Macaca fascicularis: one gene and its partners. The protein of the gene in region 4 interacts with the protein of the main gene of each other region in a pairwise test. Links are inferred from orthologs where the notes say so. Each region holds a gene or a part of one and is shown on either strand. Other genes may lie near its edges.

What was found.
Region 1: the proteins of RBM17 (region 4) and QRICH1 interact in binary tests that used the Homo sapiens proteins (3 or more experiments, as listed by UniProt). The two-hybrid records come from large-scale screens. The link is inferred for Macaca fascicularis from reciprocal best matches to the Homo sapiens genes RBM17 and QRICH1.
Region 2: the proteins of RBM17 (region 4) and PPP1R12C interact in binary tests that used the Homo sapiens proteins (3 or more experiments, as listed by UniProt). The two-hybrid records come from large-scale screens. The link is inferred for Macaca fascicularis from reciprocal best matches to the Homo sapiens genes RBM17 and PPP1R12C.
Region 3: the proteins of RBM17 (region 4) and U2SURP interact in binary tests that used the Homo sapiens proteins (3 or more experiments, as listed by UniProt). The link is inferred for Macaca fascicularis from reciprocal best matches to the Homo sapiens genes RBM17 and U2SURP.
Region 5: the proteins of RBM17 (region 4) and CCHCR1 interact in binary tests that used the Homo sapiens proteins (3 or more experiments, as listed by UniProt). The link is inferred for Macaca fascicularis from reciprocal best matches to the Homo sapiens genes RBM17 and CCHCR1.

The regions. Positions count from the first base shown.
Region 1 is NC_088376.1:112,040,712-112,045,029, forward strand, and holds part of QRICH1 (transcriptional regulator QRICH1), read right to left. Parts: intron 2,083-4,318; coding exon 1,051-2,082; intron 1-1,050. UniProt on the Homo sapiens protein: Transcriptional regulator that acts as a mediator of the integrated stress response (ISR) through transcriptional control of protein homeostasis under conditions of ER stress.
Region 2 is NC_088393.1:62,990,950-62,995,833, forward strand, and holds the start of PPP1R12C (protein phosphatase 1 regulatory subunit 12C), read right to left. Parts: upstream 3,080-4,884; 5' UTR 2,987-3,079; coding exon 2,666-2,986; intron 1-2,665. UniProt on the Homo sapiens protein: Regulates myosin phosphatase activity.
Region 3 is NC_088376.1:45,814,399-45,819,240, reverse strand, and holds the start of U2SURP (U2 snRNP-associated SURP motif-containing protein), read right to left. Parts: upstream 3,168-4,842; 5' UTR 3,141-3,167; coding exon 3,096-3,140; intron 1-3,095.
Region 4 is NC_088383.1:7,036,585-7,041,608, reverse strand, and holds the start of RBM17 (splicing factor 45), read right to left. Parts: upstream 3,072-5,024; 5' UTR 2,937-3,071; intron 1-2,936. UniProt on the Homo sapiens protein: Splice factor that binds to the single-stranded 3'AG at the exon/intron border and promotes its utilization in the second catalytic step. Involved in the regulation of alternative splicing and the utilization of cryptic splice sites.
Region 5 is NC_088378.1:141,514,577-141,518,894, forward strand, and holds part of CCHCR1 (coiled-coil alpha-helical rod protein 1), read left to right. Parts: intron 1-631; coding exon 632-935; intron 936-4,056; coding exon 4,057-4,220; intron 4,221-4,318. UniProt on the Homo sapiens protein: May be a regulator of keratinocyte proliferation or differentiation.

The DNA of each region.
Region 1 (4,318 bases), on a different chromosome or scaffold from region 4:
TGTACTTTTAGTAGAGACAGGATTATGTTGGCCAAGCTGATCTCAAACTCCTGGCCTCCGGTGATTCACCCACCTCGGCCTCCCAAAGTACATGCGTGAGCCACCGTGCCTGGCCCATATATATATATATATATATATATATATATATATATATTTTTTTTTTTTTTTTTTTTTTTTTGACGGAGTTTTGCTCTTGTTGTCCAGGCTGGAGTGCAATGGTACAATCTTGGCTCACTGCAACCTCTGCCTCCTGGGTTCAAGTGATTCTCCTGCCTTAGCCTCCTGAGTAGCTGGGATTACAGGTGCCTGCCACCACGCCCAGCTAATTTTTGTATTTTTAGTAGAGATGGGGTTTCATCATATTGGCCAGGCTGGTATTGAACTGCTGACTTGCGATCCACCCGCCTCGGCCTCCCAAAGTGCTAGGATTACAGACGTGAGCCACCTTGCCCGGCTGCCCGTTTTCAAGTAACACAAAAACACTCTTGGGAGGTCCCACTGCATAGACGGCATATTCAAGCCTCCCAATGGTTATCACTTTTAACAGGCTCATTAAGAGATATTTTAGCTTTTCTAATTCACCCACACTGTGTGCCCAAAGATGAAAAACAGAACAAAGAATCTCACAGCCTCTCCAGTGATATTTGTAATCTATGTGATAAACTACAAGTGTTTCGCTAGAACCATTTACTTATGATACAAGGAAGCAGCACCTGGGACACACTTGAGGTATCCCATTCATCTACACCTATAACTTTACTCTTCCTGAGAAGAGATTACAAAGAAGTGTCCATGGTACTTAAACCCAAAATCTCTCCAAAACTCCAAAGCAATTCCTGGTCATCTCATTTACTTCCATGTACCAGGATAAACCTTTTTTTCTGTTGCACAGCCTCAAGTGCTGTTTCTCCCCCTCTCCTCCCAAATACTAAATACTGTATCACTGTAAGAGTAACAGCAGTAAATAAGCCAGAGGTTGCCAGGCAAGCTCTTTGCGCACTGGGCCCTGAGGGACCAGGCTGCCTGCCCTACTGATAAGTCTTCACTTACTGAACAAGTAACCTGGAGCTGCTGCTGCTGCTGCTGTGGTGGTGGTGTCTGTTCCTGGGGAGTTTGCTGCTGCGGCTGCTGTTGGGGGTCCCATATATGGACAGTTTGAGCCGTATTCTGGTAAGTGCCTGCCACAGCCTGCACAGCCACTGGAATGTGGATGTTGCCATTCATGAACTGTGCTGGAAAGAGAGAGTTTGCAAGGGTCTGCACTACCTCTTCATGGGAGTTTTTCACTACAGATGTGGTGCCCACCATCTTCTCCTTGTCATCCTCCAGCTTAACAGCTGCCAGGGCCGTGGGTGAGCCACTGACGTGAACTGCGTTGTAGGCTTCCTGGGGAATGGCAATGTGGGTAATGCTCTGCTGCTGAGGGTCCCCCCGGGGCTGGGCAGAATAAACAGGGATGGTCCAGGTTTCTCCTGTAGGGCTAGTAATGGTCCCAGTGGCACTGTACAGGTGGGCACTGTCTACTGTCAGTAAGTCTGGCCTCAAAGACACATAACTCTGCTGCTGGCCCTGTGGAATGGCCAGCACGGTGGCCACCGGCTGCCCTGAGATGGCGTAGGACACAGTGATGGGCATGTCCACTTTGCGCTTCTTCACTGGCTGGAGGACACTGGCTGTGCCAACCCGCCGCTCCCCTTCCCGGGGTGAGCCCTGCTGGGATGGTGGTGGGGAAAGGGCACCCACGGTCTGGATTTGGATCTGCTGACCACCAGCAAGAGACTGGCCAGCCACCAGCTGAGCCTGGATTTGCTGATGTGGGATGTGCTCCTCCGGGATTTCTGCAGCCTGGATCTGCTGGGCCGCTTGCACGTGCTGCACCTGGATCTGAGCTGCTTGCAGCTGCGAGGGACTGGGACTCTGCAGAGACGGGGTCTGAATGGAGGGGGCTGCTGACTGTGGTGCCTGGCCTTGGATCTGCACCTGGACCTGGATGGGTTGCTCAGTAGGCTGGTGAACGGTGAGCTGTGGGGAGAGCTGCTGAGCCGAGACCTGTTGCGGAGACTGCTGTACCTGCACCTGGACCTGTAAGCAACAAGATTCATCAGTGAGTGAACCAGGCAACACTGAAAATCCAGCATCCAAGGAAGGTAAAAAAAGAGATCCCAGACAGGGGCCCTGCACAATGTGAGAAAACACTGGCATACTCAAGGCTTCTGAGGACATAATACGTAAAACTAAATACAGAATTGTCCAGCAGCACATTACAATCACAGGGACATGTATCCACCCCAGAGAGCAAGCAAGACAATTAACTAGGGTCTAACAAGGAAGTATCAAAACTTTTTTTTTTAAAAGATGGACTTTCTCTGTTGCCCAGGCAGGAGTGCAGTGGCACAATCTCAGCTCACTACAACCTCTGCCTGCCAGGTTCAAGCGATTCTCCTGCCTCAGCTTCCAGGAGTAGCTGGGATTACAGATATGCTGGAGTCTATTATCAAAACTTTGTGTTTTTTTTGTTTTTTTTTTCCCAGACGAACTCTCACTCTGTCGCCCAGGCTGGAATGCAATGGTGCGATCTCAGCTCACTCACTGCAACCTCCACCTCCCAGGTTCAAGCAATTCTTGAAGCGTCAGCCTCCCGAGTATCTGGGAGTACAGACATGTACCACCACATCCAGCTAATTTTTGTACTTTTAGTAGAGATGAGGTTTCACCATGTTGGCCAGGCTAATCTTGAACTCCTGACCTCAACTGCTCCACCCACCTCGGCCTCCCAAAGTGCTAGCGCATTGCAGGCGTGAGCCAAAACGGCCAACATTTTTATTTTCTTTGAGACAGAGTTTTGCTCTTGTTGCCCAGGCTGGAGGGCGATGGCATGATCCTGGCTCACCACAACCTCAACCTCCCGGGTCAAGCAATTCTCCTGCCTCAGTCTCCTGAGTAGATAGGATTACAGGCATGCATCATGACGCCCAGCTAATTTTGTATTTTTAGTAGAGACGGGATTTCACCATGTTGGTCAGGCTGGTCTCGAACTCCTGACCTCAGGTGATCTGCCCGTCTTGGCCTCCAAAAGTGCTGGGATTATAGGCGTGAGCCACCACGGCCGGCATTTAAAAATTTTTTTTGAAACAGAGTTTCATTCTTGTTGCCCAGGCTGGAGTGCAATAATGCGATCTCAGCTCACCGCAACCTCCATCTCACAGATTCAAGCAATTCTCCTGCCTCGGCATCCTGAGTAGCTAGGATTACAGGTGCCCACCACCATGCCCAGCTAATTTTTCTATTTTTACTAGAGACGGGGTTTTGCCATTTAGCCAGGCTGGTCTCGAACTCCTGCCCTCAGACGATCTAACCGCCTTGGCCTCCCAAAGTGCTGGGATTACAGGCGTGAGCCACCACAAGGGGCCCTTTTTTCCTCTAAAGACAGGGTCTTGCTCTGTTGCCCAGGCTAGAGTACTGTGGTGAGATGATAGGCCACTTTAAACTTCAAACTCCTCAAGTGATTCTCCCACCTCAGCCTGCTAAATAGTAAATAGCTAGGACTACAGGTACACCACCACCACACCCAGCTAAATTTTTTTTTTTTTTTTTTTTGAGATGGAGTCTCGCTCTGTTGCCCGGGCTGGAGTGCAGTGGCCGGATCTCAGCTCACTGCAAGCTCCGCCTCCCGGGTTTACACCATTCTCCTGCCTCAGCCTCCCGAGTAGCTGGGACTACAGGCGCCCGCCACCTCGCCCGGCTAGTTTTTTGTATTTTTTAGTAGAGACGGGGTTTCACCATGTTAGCCAGGATGGTCTCGATCTCCCGACCTCGTGATACGCCCGTCTCGGCCTCCCAAAGTGCTGGGATTACAGGCTTGAGCCACCGTGCCCGGCCAATTTTTTGTTTTTTTGAGACAGTCTCACTCTGTCACCAGGCTGGAATGCAGTGGTGTGATCTCGGCTCATTGCAAGCTCCCCCTCCTGGGTTCAAGCTATTCTCCTGCCTCAGCCTCCTGAGTAGCTGGGACTACAGACGTGTGCCACCATGCCCAGCTAATTTTTGTATGTTTAGTAGAGTTGGGGTTTCACCATGTTGGCCAGAATCGTCTTGATCTCTTGATCTTGTGATCCGCTCGCCTTGGCCTCCCGAAGTGCTGGGAGTACAGGCTTAAGCCACCATGCCTGGCCATTTTTTTTTTCTTTTCTGCTTTGAGATGGAGTTTTGCTCTTGTTCCCCAGGCTGGAGTGATATGGTAGTCGCAGCTGCATCCCGGGTTCAAGCTATTCTCTGGCCTTAGCCTCCCAAGTAGCTGAGATTACATGTGTACATGAGC
Region 2 (4,884 bases), on a different chromosome or scaffold from region 4:
CCCAGAGACGGTGATCCCGTCCTTGTTTTCATAGGACTTAGGGTTTCAGCGTTAAAACCAGGCTGTTCTGGGCAAACGGCATAAGCTGGTCACCCCACACCCAGACCTGACCCAAACCCAGCTCCCTTGCTTGCTGGCCACGTAACCTGAGAAGGGACTCCCCTCTTCCCTGAACTCCAGCCCACCCCAATACTCCAGGCCTCCTGGGATACCCCGAAGAGTGAGTTTGCCAAGCAGTCACCCCACAGTGGGAGGAGAATCCACCTGAAAGCCGGCCTGGCGGACTGGGCTGGGGCGACCTCTCGCCGGGTCCAGGCCAACTAGGTGGCCTGGGGCCTCTGGGGGATGCAGGGGAAGGGGGCTCAGTCTGAAGAGCAGAGCCAGGAACCCCTGTAGGGAAAGTGCAGGAGAGCCAGGGGCATGGGATGGTGACGAGGAAGGGGGACAGGGAACCTGAGCGCCTCTCCTGGGCTTGCCAAGGACTGAAACCCAGGGGCCCGGAGCAGGGCCTTAGGGAAGAGGGGCCCCGGGACCCCGCTCCGGGCGGAGGAGTATGTCCCAGATAGCACTGGGCCTCTTTAAGGAAAGAAGGATGGAGAAAGAGAAGGGGGTAGAGGCGGCCACGACCTGGTGAACACCTAGGACGAACCATTCTCACAAAGGGAGTTTTCCACACGGACACGCCCTCCTCGCCACAGCCCTGCCAGGGCGGGGCGGCTACTGGCCTTATCTCACAGGGAAAACTGATGCACAGAGGAACAGTACAAATTCGGTGCTAGAAAGGTGAAGACCCAAAATTAGAACTCAGGACCAACTTATTCTGATTTTGTTTTTCCAAACTGCTTCTCCTCTTGGGAAGCGTAAGGAAGCAGCAGCACCCGGCTCAGTGAAATGCACCAGACGGCCGCGCCAGAGCAGCTCAGGCTCTGGGAGAGGGCAGCGCAGGGCGGCCACTGAGAACCAGCAGGTCGCGCATCCCCCTTACCTCCCACCCCCCGCCAAGCTCTCCCTCCCAGGATCCTCTCTGGCTCCATCAGTAAGCAAACCCTAGGGGTTCTGGCGGGGAGAGAGAGGTGGCTCCAGGAAATGGGGGTGTGTCACCAGATAAGGAATGTGCTTAAAAGGAGGTGGGGGTCAGGCCCAATATCTGGAGACTAGGAGGGAGGAGGCCTAAGGATGGGGCTTTCTGTCACCAGTCCTGTCCCTAGTGGCCCCACGGTGGGGTGGAGGGGACAGATAAAAGTACCCAGAACCAGAGCCATATTAATCGGTCCTGGGAATATAAGGTGGTCCCGGCTCTGGGACACAAGATCTTGTCCTGAAGTGGCCATGGGGGCCCGGCTTGGAAGAAGAGGACCAGCCGAGCTCTGGGACCCCTGGAAGATGCCGTGACAGGGGCCGGAAGAGCGAGCACAGACTAGAGAGGTAAAGGGGGTATGGGAGCTGCCCGAATTAAAGAAGTGAGAGGTGACCCAAATCCACAGGAGGAGGGGGTGTCCAGGCAAAGAAAGTAAGAGGATGGAGAGGTGGCTAAAGCCAGGGAGACAGGGACTTTGGGGTTGTCGGGAAAAACGGTGATGATGCAGGCCTACGAGAAGGGGAGGTGGGGACGCAAGGGAGAGGCATCCCACAGAGAAGACCATCCTAAGAAACGAGAGATGGCACAGGCCCCAGAAGGAGAGGGAAAAGGGAACCCAGCGAATGAAGATGGCATGGGGGTTGGGGTAGGGAGCAGAGATGCCCGGAGAGGACCCAGACAAGGGCAGGATCCGCTCCGAGGACACCACGTGGTGCAGCGCCGAGAAGGAAGTGCTCTGGAAAGAGCATCCTTGGGCAGCAACGCACAGCACAGAGCAAGGGGAAGAGGGATTGGAGGAAGCTGGAACCTGAAGGAGGTGGTGGGGAAGGATCTGGGCCTAGCCGTAGGGGTGGCCCAGGCCACAAGCTGCAGGCAGAAAGCGGCACAGGTTCAGGGGAGAGAATGCAGGTCAGTGAAAGCAGCACCCGCCAGGAAAGGGGAAACAGCGGGCCAGAGGCGGCGCAGAAGCCAGTAGAGCTCAAAGTGGTCCGGACTCAGGAGAGAGACGGCCGCATTAGAGGGCAGAGTAGAGGGGGCACAGCAAGGGCACTCGGCGGCGAGTGGAGGGCAGCGCAAAGTGACAATGGCCAGGGCCAGGGAGATAGACGAGAGTGAGCTATGGGAGCTGCCTCAGGTTCAGGAGAGGGCAGGGCAGGGAGAGAGACAAAGTCCAGGGCCGGCTAGAGAGGCTCAACATCGGAAGAGGGGAAGTCGAGGGAGGGATGGTAAGGGGGACTGCAGGGGTCAGCACAGGCTGGCAAAGCCAGGGCCAGTTAAAGCGACTCCAATGCGGAAGAGGGTAGATCGAAGGGGACTGGTAAGGATGCCTGGGGCAGGGTGGTAAGCACAGAGTGGCAAAGCCCAGGGCCACTTGAAGCAGCCCCAATTCGGAAGCAGGGTGGTCGAAGAGGGCTGGTAAGGGGGCGCTGGGACGGGGTGTCAGCATAGGGTGGCAAAGCCCAGGGCTAGGAACGACGGGGCGGATCGAGACTGGCAACGGCGGCTCGGAACCGGGGAAGGAGGATGCCCCAGGCGGCGCTGCGGAGGGTGGGCCTGGCCCCGGGAGACGCCGGAGGGGGCGCTGACCTGGTGCAGGGCGCTGATGCCGTCGGCGTTGGTGGAGTCCAGCACTGCGCGGGCGGGCGGCGGCGCGGCGGGGTCGAGCTCGGCGCCGGGGCCAGGGTCGGCGGCGCACAGCATCAGACGCGCTTCGTCCAGGTCGCCGCCCGCACAGGCCGCCAGGAACTCGGCGGCGCGCTCGAAGCGGACGGTGCGGGCGCGGCGCTCTCCGGGGCCAGGCTCGGCGCCCGCCCGCGCCCCCCACTGCCGCAGCTGCTCCCGTCGCCGCTCCCGGGCAGCCGCCGCCGCCGCCCCCGGGCCAGCCGCCGGGCCATCCTCTCCGGACATCGCACCGCCCGCCCGCCCAGCGAGCGAGCGAGCGAGCGCCGAGCCCCAACTGCCGCCGCCGCCCGCCCGCCCCGGGGGCCGCCGGGAACTGCCGCTGGCCCCCCCCACCGCCGCAGGGATCTCCCGGCCCCCGCCCGGCGCGCCGACGTCACGGCGCTGCCCCAGGGTGTGCTGGGCAGGTCGCGGGGAGCGCCGGGAAATGGAGTCCATAAGCGGAAGTTGCCCCTGGCCACTTTCAGGAGTCGCTGTGCCCCGATGCACACTGGGAAGTCCGCAGCTCCGAGGCGCCCAGTGGAAATCACCGAATGAGGGCCTCCTCCGGGGAATGCTGGGAAATGGAGTCTGCAGACCGGAGGGATGCCCCACGGCATACTAGGAAGCGTAGAGTACCGGGTAAAGGGGACGAAGAGCAGGCTGCCCCAGGGCAGTTAGGAAATCGACTGGACAGCCGCGTGGCAGGGAGTGCGGGGAGAGGCAGGGTTGTTTTGTTATTGTTGTTTTATTTTGTTTGTTTTGAGACGGAGTCTCGCTCTGTCTCCACTCTGGAGTTCAGTGGCGCGATATCCGCTCACTGCAACCTCCGCTTCCCAGGTTCAAGCAATTCTCCTGCCTCAGCCCCCAGAGTAGCTGGGATTACAGGCGCCCGCCACCACGCCCTGCTAATTTTTATATTTTTAGTAGAGACGGAATTTCACCATGTTGGCCAGGATGGTCTCGATCTCTTGACCTCGTGATCTGCCCGCCTCGGCCTGTAATCCTGCTGGGATGTCGGGCGTGAGCCTCCACGCCCGGCTGGGTTTTATTTATTTTGGGTTTTTTCCTGATCCCTTAACTCGAAATAAGCTCCACGAGGGCAGGGACTTTTGTCTTCTGTGCACTACTTGTCCTTGGTTCGTAGAACAGAACCTGAGAGTACGTGATCGCAAATATTTTTGGAATGAATGAATGAATGGGTTCACCAGGGCACCATGGGAAACTGAGTCCACAACCCAAAAGCCGTGAAAGACGGTCCATATCCAGGCTTCCCTGGGTGACCTCCCAGGGCATGCTGGGAAATGAAATTTGCGGTGCAAAGGTCAGGACCACGATCCTAGGGCACGCTGGGAAATGTAGCCCACAGGGCCACACCCCTAAAAACACAGCGGGTGGAAGGCATCTCGGGCTCGGGGCAGGAGAAGTCCACAGTCCCTAGTGGTAATCCCTGAACCACACGGAGGAAAGGAACCCAACAGTGACAGGGCTCCCAGAGCCTTCACTGGTCCGCGCTTCTTCTGCGCCCAACCGGACCTCCCGGGACCCGTCCAGGCCCCCGCGCGCTCTCAAGGCATGCTGGGATTGGTGGTCCCGGGCGAGGAGTTCCAGCAGGTGGGGGGCGAATCACCTTACAGCGGGCCCAAGCGATGAGCACACTTTAATCTTCACCTTGCGGATCCCGCGCCTAGCTCCAAATTGGGAAGGTGGCTGGCACTTTGAGACAGGAAGAGACCGACCAAAATCACACAGAATTGGGCCAAAATCCAGACAGGCTACAGACGGTTTCCCAAGCGCTGTGGGAGTTTCCCACCCACTCTGAAGTCCTGGGTTTGCGCGGAGAAGTAAACTGTGCATCCCACGAGGCCTGTTTCTTTCCCTCTCTCTTTCTTTTCCTTTTTTTTTTTTTTTTTTTGTTGTTGTTGTTGTTACGAAAATTTTTGTGGTTTTATTGTATCATGAGGCATTGAAACATTCGAACCACTCTGTCTGGGTGAGGCAGCTGCTTTCTCCTTCTCTTTCTTTGGGTTACTAGAGCAACTTGTCAGATTTTTTTTTTTTTTTTTTTGGGGGGGACGGAGTCTTGCTCTGTCACCCAGGCCGGAGTGCAGTGGCGCAATGTCGGCTCACGGCAAGCTCCACCTCCT
Region 3 (4,842 bases), on a different chromosome or scaffold from region 4:
AAATTAAAGTGCATAGGGGTCTCTTCACTAGGGACAATTATGAATAAAGATAAGTCATTCAAGTATACATTCATAAAGTATCATTTTAAAACTAGAGGCCAGGAACGGTGGCTCACTCCTGTAATCCCCGCACTTTGGGAGGCCGAGGCCGGGGGATCACAAGGTCAGGAGTTACAGACCAGCCTGGCCAATAGATGAAACCCCGTCTCTACTAAAATACAAAATACTAAAATACTAAAATACAAATACTAAAATACTAAAAATACAAAAATTAGTCGGGCACCTGTAGTCCCAGCTACTCGGGAGGCTGAGGCAGAAGAATCGCTCAAACCCGGGAGGCAGAGGTTACAGTGAGCTGAGATTGTGCCACTGCACTCCAGCCTGGGCGACAGAGCAAGACTCTTGTCTCAAAAAAAAAAAAAGCAACTAGAAGACCTGTAGAGGTTATCTAATCTAATCTTTTTATAATTAAGAAATGTTAATAGTTTTGCCATACTGTATATTTTAAAATTACCATTTTCCCAATGTCTAGAAATATAAGCATCCCTATCCATATTAATGGGAATTTAACTACCAAAGAAAACGACGAAACATGAAACAGAAGTATCTGTTCACTCCATCTGTATTGTAAAACATAAGCCACTCATCTGTTCTTTCCTGGGGAAAGGAAATCAAACCAGATATCAAAGGCTAGAAATTCCAAATACTGTAGTATTAGCCAAAATGATCTTACACTTTCTCTAACAAATTTTGTGTTAGAAATAAAAAGCAGTGCGGGGCACAGTGACTCACGCCTGTAATCCCAGCACTTTGGGAGGCCGAGGCGGGTGGATCACCAGGGTCAAGAGATCGAGACCATCCTGGCCAACATGGTGAAACCCCATCTCTACTAAAATACAAAAAGTTAGCCGGGTGTGGAAGTGCGCGCCTGTACTCTCAGATACTCAGGAGGCTGAGGCAGGAAAATCACTTGAACCCGGGAGGCGGAGGTTGCAATGAGCAGAGACTGTGCCACAGTACTCCAGCCTGGGCAACAGTGTGAGACTTCTTCACAAAAATAAAATAAAATAAAATAAAAATAAAAATAAAAAGCAGCTATCTGGGCAGTCATTATGACGGCTGATTACTTAGATTCCAAATCACAGGTTTAAAATTTATCCTGACATTTTGAAAGTTAAGAACTTATTTCCTCTAAAAACAAAAAAGGTGAGGGGAAAGAAACTACAATTTATTATGTTGTACTTTATAGACATTAGCTCATTTAATCCTTATATCAACCTTGTAAAAAAAGAATTATATCTACATTACAAATGAGGAAATTGAGGTTCCAGAGTTTAAGCAATCTGCCTTAATATTATCGCAAATATAATTAATTACCAAGTCACGATTTAAACCCAAATCTCTTTTGCTAACAAAATTCATAATCTTCCCACTACATTATGCAGCCTCCAAATTAGTTAAGATATTCTGATTCCTTTTACAGACATCAGTAAGAAATCTGTTAACAGCATCAAGAGATTATAATCTAAGACAATATAAACAGAAAAGATTACTGGATAATCCAATAATTTATTTATAGGGAACAGCCATCATTCACAATCATGAAAAGTACTATTTCAGAAGGAAGTCTGAACACAGACATTGAAATGTTTTCAATGTATCCAAGACCTCAAGTAGGGAATACTTAAAATATTACTTTGAGAAGAAACAGAAATTGTGAGGCTTATGCATGACTTGTTATGAACGTAGCTAACTTTAGTAATAGCTCCTTAACGGTATGTTCTTGTCATGAGTCTGTTGAGAAGAGTTGGTAGAGCGAGTTACCCCTGTATTCCCCCCGCCCCCAAAGAGGGGGAGAAGACGAAATGTACTGAGGGAAAAAAACTGACACAACACCTTGTAAAGCAGCCGAAACTGGCCCCTTATCAAAGTTTCTACGTAACTAAAGGATGTCTGGTAAGACCATTACTAATTATGAACTAATTATTTTGGTGTACATCATTCACCAAGTGGCATAAACAGTCGGATTAGAGAACGCAAGTAGAAAACGAGTTGGTGTTTCTCAGAACTGTAAAAGCAAGCTTCTCTCCTACAGTAAATTTAACTTTCTAATAACTGATTTATAGTCACACATACTCTTTAAGATGTAACAGTCCCCAGCACCTAAAAAAGTGTTATACACCTTTTTGCATCAGCATCGGGAAGTTTAACTACCTAGTGGCAGTACCAATTAATATATTCGAGACCAGAAAACCAAAGCAAACAACGATTAAATGTCCCGCCCAAGATGGCAACTAAGAACCCAACCTTACTAATGCTGAACTACTACCACAGCTCACTGGTTTCACAATACGTGCACAGGATTCCCTGTAAACACAAATGCAATTTACTAATCGTATGTAGCTTAAAAGTCTACGGGGCTTCTCTTTTCACTGTGTTTCTTCAACATGAAGAAAGAGACCACGAGTCCTCTACCCTAAAAAGTGCTTTTTACTTCCCCTTAAGGTAAAGACCACGTGTAGCGTGTACATTAACCTTGGCTATGAAGCACTGCAAAGGAGAGCTTGCTCCCGCCTCTGCATTTCCCACTTCGCGTCTTTGCCCTAGTGGTCCTCCCCTCACAGCTGGCGACCCTAAAGATTATTTATTCCTTGGAGGGAAACTGAGGGAGGCCGGAAGTGAGTGAGATCCAAAACCGAGAAAAAAGCAGCACTTAAGCACCGGGAAGCGATTCCCGCCTCTCTCCCAGGCGCTGTCTGGAGGCCTCAGGGCGCAGGAAGCTGAAATACAGGAGAGCGTTTTCACGACTTCAGACCTCAATCTGAATTCCTGATTTCACTCCAACGCCAAGTGCGGGCCGAAGCACTCACGCCACCACCCCCTGGGCACGCCAGTTTCGAGCTGAATCCAGGCTGGGAATAAGGGGAGATACCAGGCCTCTCAACCTGCGCACCACGGTGCGGCGGCGCCCGGGCCTACCGTCCCGAGCAGAACGCAGACCCCAATCCCAATCGCCTCTCACAGGCCAGAAGCGTCTGTGGGCCCCAGACGACAGTGGTAGATCCGCTGACTTACGAAATTTTGTCAGAAATTACCTTTGAACTGGCCTTCTGAGATCCGCCTGGCGTTTTGTCCGCCATCTTGAGCTTTGCCCCTCCTTCGGCGGCAGCAGCAGCACGGGCGAGTCGAGCACCGAAAGAGCGGATCTCAGCGAAGCCCGCCAGAGGAGCCTGCAAGGCTGAATAGTCGACTGTCGAGATAGCGACCTTGGGGGAAGCCGCTCACGTGACTTCCGGTGTCAGTAATTTCCTCAGCCGCGCTCACTACGCTAGTTTTCCTGGGAGTCACGGTGTTTGGTCACGTTATTGGGTCCGGGAATTCAGAGTATCTCCTTGTCCAGGGCCAGCTGATATTTCACTCTCTTATCCCAACGCCAACCCTTGACAGATGCGAACCAGTCGTATTTCCTTTGTGGGAAGGGAGCCGCTTTTTAAAGACGTGCACTGGCCATCTAGGGAGTAGCTTTTACTTCAACTCAAAATAGGACTGGAGCTGACCGGTGGCCTGGCGCTTGATCGACGGAAACGCTGTTCTCGCCACTTCGGCAGCTCCCACGCTTGCAGTCTGCTCATCTTAAGATGGTGAATGTTGACATACGGTTGCGCCCGAAAAGCCGAGAAGAGGAGCGTTTGACCCAACCTGAGGGTGATCCAGTAGACACTGTTAAGGGCGTCTGCAGAGTGGGTGCGCGTGGAGACAGTCAATGAGAGAAAATCGTAAATACAGACGGTGTTCTAAATCTAGCATGCATGTAAAGTTGTGTGACATTTTTAAAGATTACATTTTACACTTTAGTATTGTTTTCATTTTTAATCACATAAATGGGGGAGCATCATATTAAACTTTTCTGTACTTAGTACTTTTTTAAAAAGTTATTAATCAGGACCTAGATTCAAAGAAGGAAAGCTTGTTTGAGAAGACTATGCCTGAATCAGGCCAGGCAAGGAAAGAAAGGACATTCCAGAAAGAGGGAGTAATTGAGGTAAAAGCCTGTGGCATAAATTAGTACAGCCGGTCTTGCAGGTCACCTAAGCAGTCATTTTATTAGATCAGGTGTGGAGAGGGACGTGGTTGGACGGGGTGTGGGTGCAGGTTCACACAGCGCCCTGAGGTCACCATCGTGCTTAGGAGTTTGAATTCTATTCTCGCCGGGCGCGGTGGCTCAAGCCTGTAATCCCAGCACTTTGGGAGGCCGAGACGGGCGGATCACGAGGTCAGGAGATCGAGACCATCCTGGCGAACACGGTGAAACCCCGTCTCTACTAAAAAATACAAAAAACTAGCCGGGCGAGGTGGCGGGCGCCTGTAGTCCCAGCTACTCGGGAGGCTGAGGCAGGAGAATGGCGTAAACCCGGGAGGCGGAGCTTGCAGTGAGCTGAGATCCGGCCACTGCACTCCAGTCTGGGCGACAGAGCGAGACTCCGCTCAAAAAAAAAAAAAAAAAAAAAAAAAAAAAAAAAAAAGCTATTCTCAGAATGAAGATCGGCCTTTAACAAGGTTGAAATGGTCAGATTTTTATTTTAAAGTATTGCTCTGAGGACTAGGGTGGGAGCGGAGGGCGTTCGTGGACCTCTCCCTAATTCATTTATTCAAAATATTTTTGAGCCCCGTTTTGTGTGTAAAAGCCTGCCCAAAGTGTTGTAGGGCTTACAGAGACAGATAAACATGCACTGTCTTCATATGCTTTAAAACTTAATGAGAAATGAAGGAGACAAGGAAACCGCAAACTAATACTATGCATAACTAAATTGATGCTGCAAGGAAGGATCAATAGCTGAGGGA
Region 4 (5,024 bases):
AAGTTGTACTTTCTAACAATTGGATATACCACAAGAAGCCAGGATCAAAAGTAAATACAAATTGCTGGGTTTTATAACTTTAAAATATTTGCTATTTCCTTCCTTTTTGTGGCAACACTACGCTTTGAGCAACCCACGTTTCATATATGCTACATTTTCTCTCAAGAAACATAACAAACATGGTTCTGCCAGAAGGAAGAATGTTGAGTTTTCAAGATTCCACCCAAGCTGGAAAGTATTTTTTTAAAACATGTGCAACTGGCAGGAAAAAGAACATGGAAGTGTCTTCTCAGAAGCACCCCACCTACTTATCTTTCAAGTGCATCTCAGAAGCCTTTAGTGACTATTGCCCCCACATAAAACTAACTCCCCCCAATTGGTTTCCTCAAGCATACTCAGATCACAGCAACCTTGGCAAGTTATGCTGCCTATTGTTTCACACACCTGTTTCTTCCTGCAGTGTAAGCCCCCTAAGGGCAGGGGTGTTTTTTATCTTCAGCTTTGTATCTCTAGCTTAGCACCATGATTGAACACTGTAAGTGGCTCTACTAATATTTTTTAAATGTGTTAGTCAAAGGATGAAAAATGTTAATGCACCTATTTAAATCACATTATTATGAAACAGTGAGATCTGCAGATCTGCTTTTTAAGCACATAACTTATAACTTAAGTAGGATAAAATTTAAACTGTAAACCACAATTAAGGAGAGAAAAACTACCACCACCACACAACCAATAAAGAGTCGAGGTCTGAGTTCTGAGCACCTAAAGAGGCAGGCTTGTTAGGAAGAAATATTTCTATCACTAAATAGATACTCATGCATCATAAAACAAAGCATGCCTCTTTGAAGTCTAAAGAATATGGCAAGACTGGGCCCAGTGGCTCACGCCTGTAATCCCAGCACTTTGGGAGGCCGAGGCAGGAGGACCACCTGAGATCAGGAGTTCGAGACCAGCCTGACCAACATGGTGAAATCCCGTCTCTACTGAAAATACAAAAATTGGCCGGGCATGGTGGCAAGCGCCTGTAATCCCAGCTACTCAGGAGACTGAGGCAGGAGAACCATCTGAGCCCGGGAAGCGGAGGTTGCAGTGAGCCGACTTGCACAGCTGCACTCCAGCCTGGACCACAGAGTGAGATTCTGTCTCAGGAGAAAAAAAAAAAATATGGCAAATATACACAGAAATGAACAGGAGGGGAAACAGAAGGGGTGGTGCACTTTGGTGTCCGCAAAAAATACAGCTAAAAAAGCATCTACTTCAAGTATAAGCTCTACCATGACTTTCTAAAGAATTAAAAAAAATTTTTTTTCCCATACCTCCATCTGACACCCTTGTCAATTTAATCTTTCCGTTCAATCTCACACTCTGCTGTTACCAAAATGCAAACAGTAGAGTAGAGTCACCTGTAATTTAGGCGAATAAACAGAACTTCCTTCACTATTGACTATTACGAAAGGTTTGAGAGATGACTAGCCTGGGATCATCTGTTCCCTGCTGGGGGGAGGTTTGAAAAATTCATATGTAGGGGAGAATGGGAAGGTAATTTAAAGCAAACCAGGTAAAAAGAAATCCACTTTAAATAAAGTTGCATTTGGGAATGTACAACAATCCTCTCAAGTGCCTCCAGAAACGCTGTCTTTGGTTCCAGAGAGTTCCACAATCGCACAACCTGCTGTTATAAACTGGACAGCATGCAGCACCTTGCTTAACTAAAAGCCCTCTCGTTTAGCTCGCTAAACTGTTACCCCACATTCCCTAAAAGCCGTCATTACGGTCAAAATATCCGCAGCATTTATCAACTAAAAATGTGGAAACCGAGTCTCACCCTTTTAAAAACTCCATCTGCTGCGGGGAGCCAGTGCTCATCTTGAGTATATGCGAATCTTGCCCTTATCTAGAATATCCTATTTCCCATCCATATGCCTGGCTCTAGCAAAACAAGGACCCCCAACGGCGCTCCTTTACTGCTTCTCAAGAAACCTCCATGTTCTGACCTGACTACTCCTCGAAACACAACACCACCCGCTCCTCAAACCTTTCTCTCTGCCTTACCTGCAGTTTCCAGAACGCACTACGAGGCTTCACTTCTGCTACTTTCGCACTTACCGCCGGGAGCCTTTTTCCCCAGCTCCCACCATCTAACCAAGTACCTTCAAGACTCAACAGAAGCATCACCTCCCCTCCCAAGAGAGGTCCTTTCAGACCCTACTTGCGTCTCTCAGATCAACCCGGGCCTGGGTTTTCACGCCTGCTTTCCTAGAAACCAAACTCCTGCGAGCAGGGGCAGAACCTCCTTCCACCTGCATTCCCCGATCATTACACATCCTCTGGGCAAGAGGTGACGCTCAAAGACTGCTTGGGGTCGGCCGCGAGCGCTCAAACACCGCTCAAACAGCACGAGCCGAGGCGACGCCGGGGTCAGGGCTGCATTCCTGTCCTAGCGAGCTCTGGAGTCTGGGAAGCGCCAACGTCTGCACTCCCAGTTCTGAGTCCCGGGGAGGAACCGGCTTCTTTCTCTGAGCCCCGGAGAGGGGCAACTGTGCGGGGTCAGGGGGGACACGCTCCGGACTACTGGGGTCTAGTGACCGGACAACTTCGTCAGGATGTGGCCCACGAGGTGAAGGAGAAACGCTCTTCAGTACCAAAGAGCCAGAGGCAGACAGGAGGAGGAGGAGGAGGAGGGGAAGAGGGAGGTCAGGGCCCGGGTCACCGGAGGCGGCGGCGGGCGGAGGGTCCCGGGCTGCAGCCGCGCGGAGAGACCAGGGCCCGCCGCGGGGACTGAGACCCCCCGGAGGCTCGGGCTGCGCTGGCCCGGCCCCCGCCCCTCGCGACGGGCCTAAAGCCGCGGCCTTGCGTCCGGCGCCTCCCGGGAAGGCGCGCCCGCCTCAGGTCCCGCCAGGCCGCCCACCCGGGGCCGCCGGGGTGCGACTTACCTGGCCCGCCCGGCCGACTCTGCCCATGGGCCGCGGCGGCGGCAGCGCGGAGCCGGGCGGCACTCCGCGGAAACCCGCCGGCGGCAGGAGGCCTCGGCGGCGCCCACCCTCCGCTGAGTCCTCAGGGCGCTCTGCGGCGCGGGGTCAGGGAGCGCGGGCTGCCGGGAGAGCGCGCCCGCGCCTGCGCCGCGCCTGCGCCAGCGCCTGCTTCGGCTTCTGCGCCTGCGCCGAGGGCGCCTTGCCGCACTGCCCCCTGCCCGCGGGAGGACCGCACTGCACGCTCCCCTCCGCCGGCGTCGTCTTCTACCGTCAAGAGGTGTCGCCCTGGCGCACATTTTCGAAATTCCACAAGGTTTGGGGAGCGCGGCAGCGCCCCTAGATGGTGAGGAGGAGAAGTGGTCCGAGGCCCGGCTTTATGATGGGGAGGTGGGGGAAGTCCCTCCAGGCCCCTCGCTCTCATTCATTCAAAACCTCTCCTATATAAGCAAAAAGTTGAAAATAAGTCTGCATAGGCGAGATGCTGCAAAAGGATGGCAAGGAGCACGGGGTTAAGCGTAAGATTAAGGAAACAGATGCCGCGATTAGGGGTACAGAGAAGAATGTCAATGCTATAAAGCCTCGGTCTTTAAAAACGACATCGCTGACAGAAGTAGGGAGGGGAAGGGAACGTGGGACTTCGGGTTAATATGATTTTTACATCTGTAATTGGGTCTCAAATAAAGTTCAAGCCGATAAATCAAACAGTAGAGATTTAAGCAGACGTCTTAGTCGGAAGGAATATACCAAGAAAGTTACTATAATCCATTAAAATCCAGTGATTAAGAAAACGGGAAATGGGGGAAAAAAGAAATATAGTGGAGAGACAAAAGACAATCTAAAGAAAGAGAGGATTAAAGACGTCATGGGATGGTATAATTCTGAAGGTAACCCAGAACAAAACTACAAAGTTTTCAAATAATCCACACATACATGCACACACACACACACACACACACACACACACACACACACACACAGCAAAACAAACCAATATAGGGAAATATTTGAAAAAGTTACAAAACAGAAAGCACAACCAAACTATATGACAGAACAAGACCAAATGTCTCACAAGAAGAAATATAGACCTAAGCTTACCTATTAAAAAACTACAACCTCAGATTGGAGCCCAAACCATCATGCAACTCAGTGTTGTATACAAGAAAGTACTAAAGTTATTCTGAGTTTGAAAAATACAAGATTGGAAAAGATATACCAGGATAATGCAAAAAATATTTTTAAAAATCAGGAATCACAAACAACTTACTCAAACGTTGATTTCAGGGCAAAAAGCATTAAGTAAGAGTAAGAAGGGCATTTTATAATCTTGAGAAGCACAATTCACAATCAAGAAAAAAATGGGAAAAATAGGAAAATCTTTGCACCAAATCACATAATCTCATTATTCATAGCAAACACTGTAGGAGTGAATGAATAGGCAGAAATAATTGGCACATTCCTTGCCAGACTAAGGGTACAAAAAGTAAATGAGGATTGAGAATACCTAAAAATACAATTCCTAGGATAGATATCAAATGCTGTCCCCTAAATAGACATAACATCTTTCCTAGTGTCTAAGGAATATTCACAACAATTAGTCCTATTTTAGACCACAGAGAAAAATCTTAATATAGTCCAGTAAGTAGAATCATATGGGTAATATTATCTGCAGCAATTCAATAAAAGTAGAAATTAATGAAAAAAAAAACAGAAAATAAAGCATGCCTACCCCTTGAAAATTTTTAAATGCTCAAATAACACTTGGAACAAAAAGGAAAACAAAATCAAAATAACATAATATCTAGAAAAGTATGAAAACGACATACTCATGGGATTTAGCTCAGATAGTACTAAGAGGAAAATTTATGGTTTTAAGTTTTTGTATCAACTAAAAACTTGGAATTAAGTGAATTAAGCACTTGTGAAAGCAACTGGAAATAAAATAAAAATGTGAAAAGCAGAAGGAAGTACTTGGTCAATAAAAGAAGCAGAAAGTAATAGTGTGTAAACAGAAAAAGGAAGAAGAGCAAAGATAGAAGTTGTCTAGACTGG
Region 5 (4,318 bases), on a different chromosome or scaffold from region 4:
CCACGTTCCAAGCTAGATTAAACTTCACGTGATATTGGTAGACAATGTCTCCAAAGGCTGGCACTATGTTATTTATGTACTGTTCTCTCAGACTCCTCATAAAGTATACCTAACACTCAATAAATGCATTTTAACTAGCACCTGGCCTCACCATATTGATACTGGAAGCTCAGCTCTCTCTATGCCCATTCCTCCCTCAAACTTCTTGCCCTTAAATCAGAATTGAGAAGTCTCTGTTCTTCCAACCTTTCCACTTAAAATGTGTGGCCTAAAAATAAAAAATAAATAAGACAAAAAAACACCAAAAAACAAAAAGAATGTGTGGCCTAATGATATACACATTTGATGTTGAATCTGTCTGTATGTAGCTCTCTCTAGGGAGATCATGTTCCATCATCTCAGCCAGACTTTAGGTCCTGTGAGTCCAGGCACTGGACTTAACATGCTCAATAGGGCTTTGATGAATGATAATAATGTCAATGCAGACATCCCCATACCCCAGCTTCAGCACCCCCTTCACCTCCTCACACGGGGGCAGAGAGGTCCTCTTTTCCTTCTGGCTATGTTTACACCCTCAACTATCCTTCCAGCACTGGAGACAAGTCTCACCTGCACTAACCTGTCTTTGAAGGTCCTGGGAGCTGGAGGGGTCACAGGCCCTGAGCCAGCAGGCTGAGGTGATCGCTCGGCAGTTGCAAGAACTGCGGCGGCTGGAGGAGGAGGTCCGGCTCCTGCGGGAGACCTCACTGCAGCAGAAGATGAGGCTAGAGGCCCAGGCCATGGAGCTGGAGGCCCTGGCACAGGCAGAGAAGGCCGGCCGAGCTGAGGCCGAGGGCCTGCGTGCTGCTTTGGCTGGGGCTGAGGTCGTCCGGAAGAACTTGGAAGAGGGGAGCCAGCGCGAGCTGGAAGAGGTTCAGAGGCTGCACCAAGAGCAGGTGAATGCAGGGGTGGGAAGGATTTAAATTCATAACGGAGAGCTGGGCAGTAGCTTCCAAGCAAAGAACAGGTATTGCAGAAGAGACTCTCCATGAGTAGTGAGTAGTGGAGTGATGAGACCTTTGGTGAAAAGAAACACACATGGCCTAGAAAGATGGAGAATTTGGTTATTTTGATCTTAATTCAGGTTGCACTTTTTCCCCAAGACTCAGGTGGCCTCCCACGACTTGAAGCCCTGCTTCCTTTTCTAGTAGGAAGTAGTTTGCCTCCCTGCTTTACTCTGGGTACCAATTCATCGGGGGTATTGTGGAGGGCAGTGAGGAAGGTGGATATAAAGGGGCTATGGTGGACTGGGAGAGAGAGATTATTCAGTCTGCAAACTCAGTGCTTACTCTTTGCCATCTCAGACTCAGTGACCAAATTAGCCTGAATCCTGCCTTCATGGATGGAACTGACAGCCTCATGGGGGATACACACATCCACTTTTAATTTAATCATAATTAATTGCAATCAGGAGGAGTGCCTTGAAGGCGAAGGACTAGAGAGCACTAACTTAGTCTGGGGTTCAGGGAAGGCCACTGTAACCAATTGGACATGTCAAGGAAAGAAACCATAAGGCCGGGTGCAGTGGCTCACGCCTGTAATCCCAGCATTTTGGGAGGCCGAAGCAGGTGGATCACAAGGTCAGGAGTTCAAGACCAGCCTGGCCAACATGGTGAAACCCCGTCTCTACTAAAAATACAAAAATTCACCAGACATGGTGATGCACACCTGTAATCCCAGCTACTCAGGAGGCCGAGGCAGGAGAATCACTTGAGCCTGGGAGGTGGAGGTTGCAGTGAGCCGAAATTATGCCATTGCACTCCAGCCTGGGCAACAGAGCAAGACTCTGTCGCAAAAAATAAAAAAGGAACTGGGAGAAAACAAGGGAGAAATTCTTTGTAACCTTGTAGTGGGCAAGGCCTTTCTACCTGTGAGTCAAAATCCAAAATCTAGAAGCCGTAAAGGAAAAGATTGATCCATTGACTTTATAACATGAACATTAGGAATGGCAGGGAAAAAAAAAAAAAAAAAAAAAAAAAAAAAAAAAAAAGCTCTATTTATAGCTCAGATCACAAGAAAAGGGTAATATCCCTCATATAAAATGTGTGCCTAGAAATTGGTAAGGGAAAGACCAGCAATCCAGTCAGAAAGTGGACAAAGGAGATTCATGAAAGAAACTTAGAAACAAGAAGCTAGGCCGGGCACAGTGGCTCACACCTGTAATCCCAGCACTTTGGGAGGCTGAGGTGGGCAGGATTACTTGAGGCCAGGAGTTCAAGACCAGTCTGGCCAACATGAAGAAACCCAGTCTCTACAAAAAATACAGAAATTAGCCGGGTATGGCGGTGGGCGCCTGTAATGCCCCAGCTTCTTGGGAGGCTGAGGCAGGAGAATTGCTTGAACCTGAGAGACAGAGGTTACAGTGAGCTGAGATCACCACACTCCAGCCTGGGCAGCAGAGCGAGACTAAAAAAAACTAGCAAGCTACCATTTGTGCTGAATAGGAGTTGGCCAGTGAATAGGCGTGTGAGGTCCAATGGTCGCTGGAGGACACTCGGCAGGACAACCGGTGGAGGCGGGGACAGGCAGAGGCCAGAAGGCTGGAGCATAGAGATCAGGGGCGCTGAGTGTGCTGCAGAGCATGGGACCCAGGGCACAAGGCCTTAGCCACTTCAGAACTTGCTACTTTCCCTTAAGAGCAATGAGCAGGCTGGGCACGGTGGCTCATACTTGTAATCCTAGCACTTTGGGAGGCTAAGGCAGAAGGATCACTTGAGCCCAGGAGTTTGAGACTAGCCTGGGCAACAACGTGAGCCCCCATCTCTATTTTATTAAATAAACTAGGGCTGGGCATAGTTGCTCACATGTGTAATCCCAGCACTTTGGGAAGCTGAGGTGGGTGGATCACTTGAGGTCAGGAGTTCGAGACCAGCCCTGCCAACATGGTGAAACCTCATCTCTACTAAAAGTACAAAAATTAGCTGGGCGTGGTGGCTCATGCCTGTAATCTCAGCTACTTGGGAGGGTGAGGCAGGAGAATCGCTTGAACCTGGGAGGCAGCGTTTGCAGTGAGCTGAGATTGTGCCATTGCACTTAGTCTGAGCAACAAAGTGAAACTCCATCTCCAAAATAACAAAAAGAAAACAAAATTGTTTTTTTAAGTGATAAGCAACTGTTGAAGGGTTTTAGGCAGGGAAATGACATGATTAGATTTGTATTTTATGTCTAAAAAGTTTTGTCATTTATATCCCCCAAATTAACTTTATTGTTGTATGGAGACGGGGCTAGAGGAGGCAGACCAGGAAGCAGGGTGGCCACTTTGCCCTCCTTCCCAGTCCATCCCATGACTGTTGCTGGCTCTGACACCCTTGCAACCCTTTGAGGTGCCATGAGCAAAAGACACAAAATTCCTCCTTTCCTAGAACTTTCCTTCCGATGTGGTCTGACAGATAGTAACACATACACATAAGCAAGATATGGTCAGTGCCAAGTGCTCGGGAGGACGTGAGCAGTTGATGGGGCACAGGAGGGTGGTGAGGGTTATTAGAGGGCCCAGCGAAGCCACCCTGAGGAGGGGCTATCACCTGGGGTCTGTGGAGCAAGGAGGGGCCGCTGTCTGGTTCTCAGCGGACTCCCTGTGGCTGGAGCGGGGAGCATTAGGAGAGCCTCTAGGGTGAACTCAGGAGGCAGGCAGAGGCTGGGTCCCCCGGCCTGCAGGTGTGGAGAGATGCCTGGGTTTTGCTGTGAATGCTGTGAGAAGCCACCGAGGGTTTGTAAAGACTAGTTAGGAGATGGTCCCTGTTGCGAGGCAAGAGATGAGGGTAGCTTACCTTGGGTTGGTGGCAGTGGAGACGGAGACGGAGAGAGGTGAAGATATGTTTTGGGGGAGATTGAACAAGAACTCCCGATGGGTTGTGGGGCAACTGCAGAGAGTGAGTTACCAGCTCTCCATTTGCTATGCGCAGTTGGGTGATTGGTTTGGTCATTGTCTAAGGTCACAGAAAGTGGGAGTGAAGGGAACAAGGAAGGCCTCCATGTGGGGTCGAGCTCCTGCTGAGCCTCCTCTTCTTTCCACAGCTGTCCTCTTTGACACAGGCTCACCAGGAGGCTCTTTCCAGTTTGACCAGCAAGGCCGAGGGCTTGGAGCAGTCTTTGAGTAGTCTGGAAACCAGGAGAGCAGGGGAAGCCAAGGAGCTGGCCGAGGCTCAGAGGGAGGCCGAGCTGCTTCGGAAGCAGCTGAGGTAGGTGGGTGGATGCCGACGGGGGCCCAGCAGTTGGTGATGTGGTGGGTCTGCAGGGTGCCCCACTGATGGCTGTCCCATTCCCACCCCAACCCTAG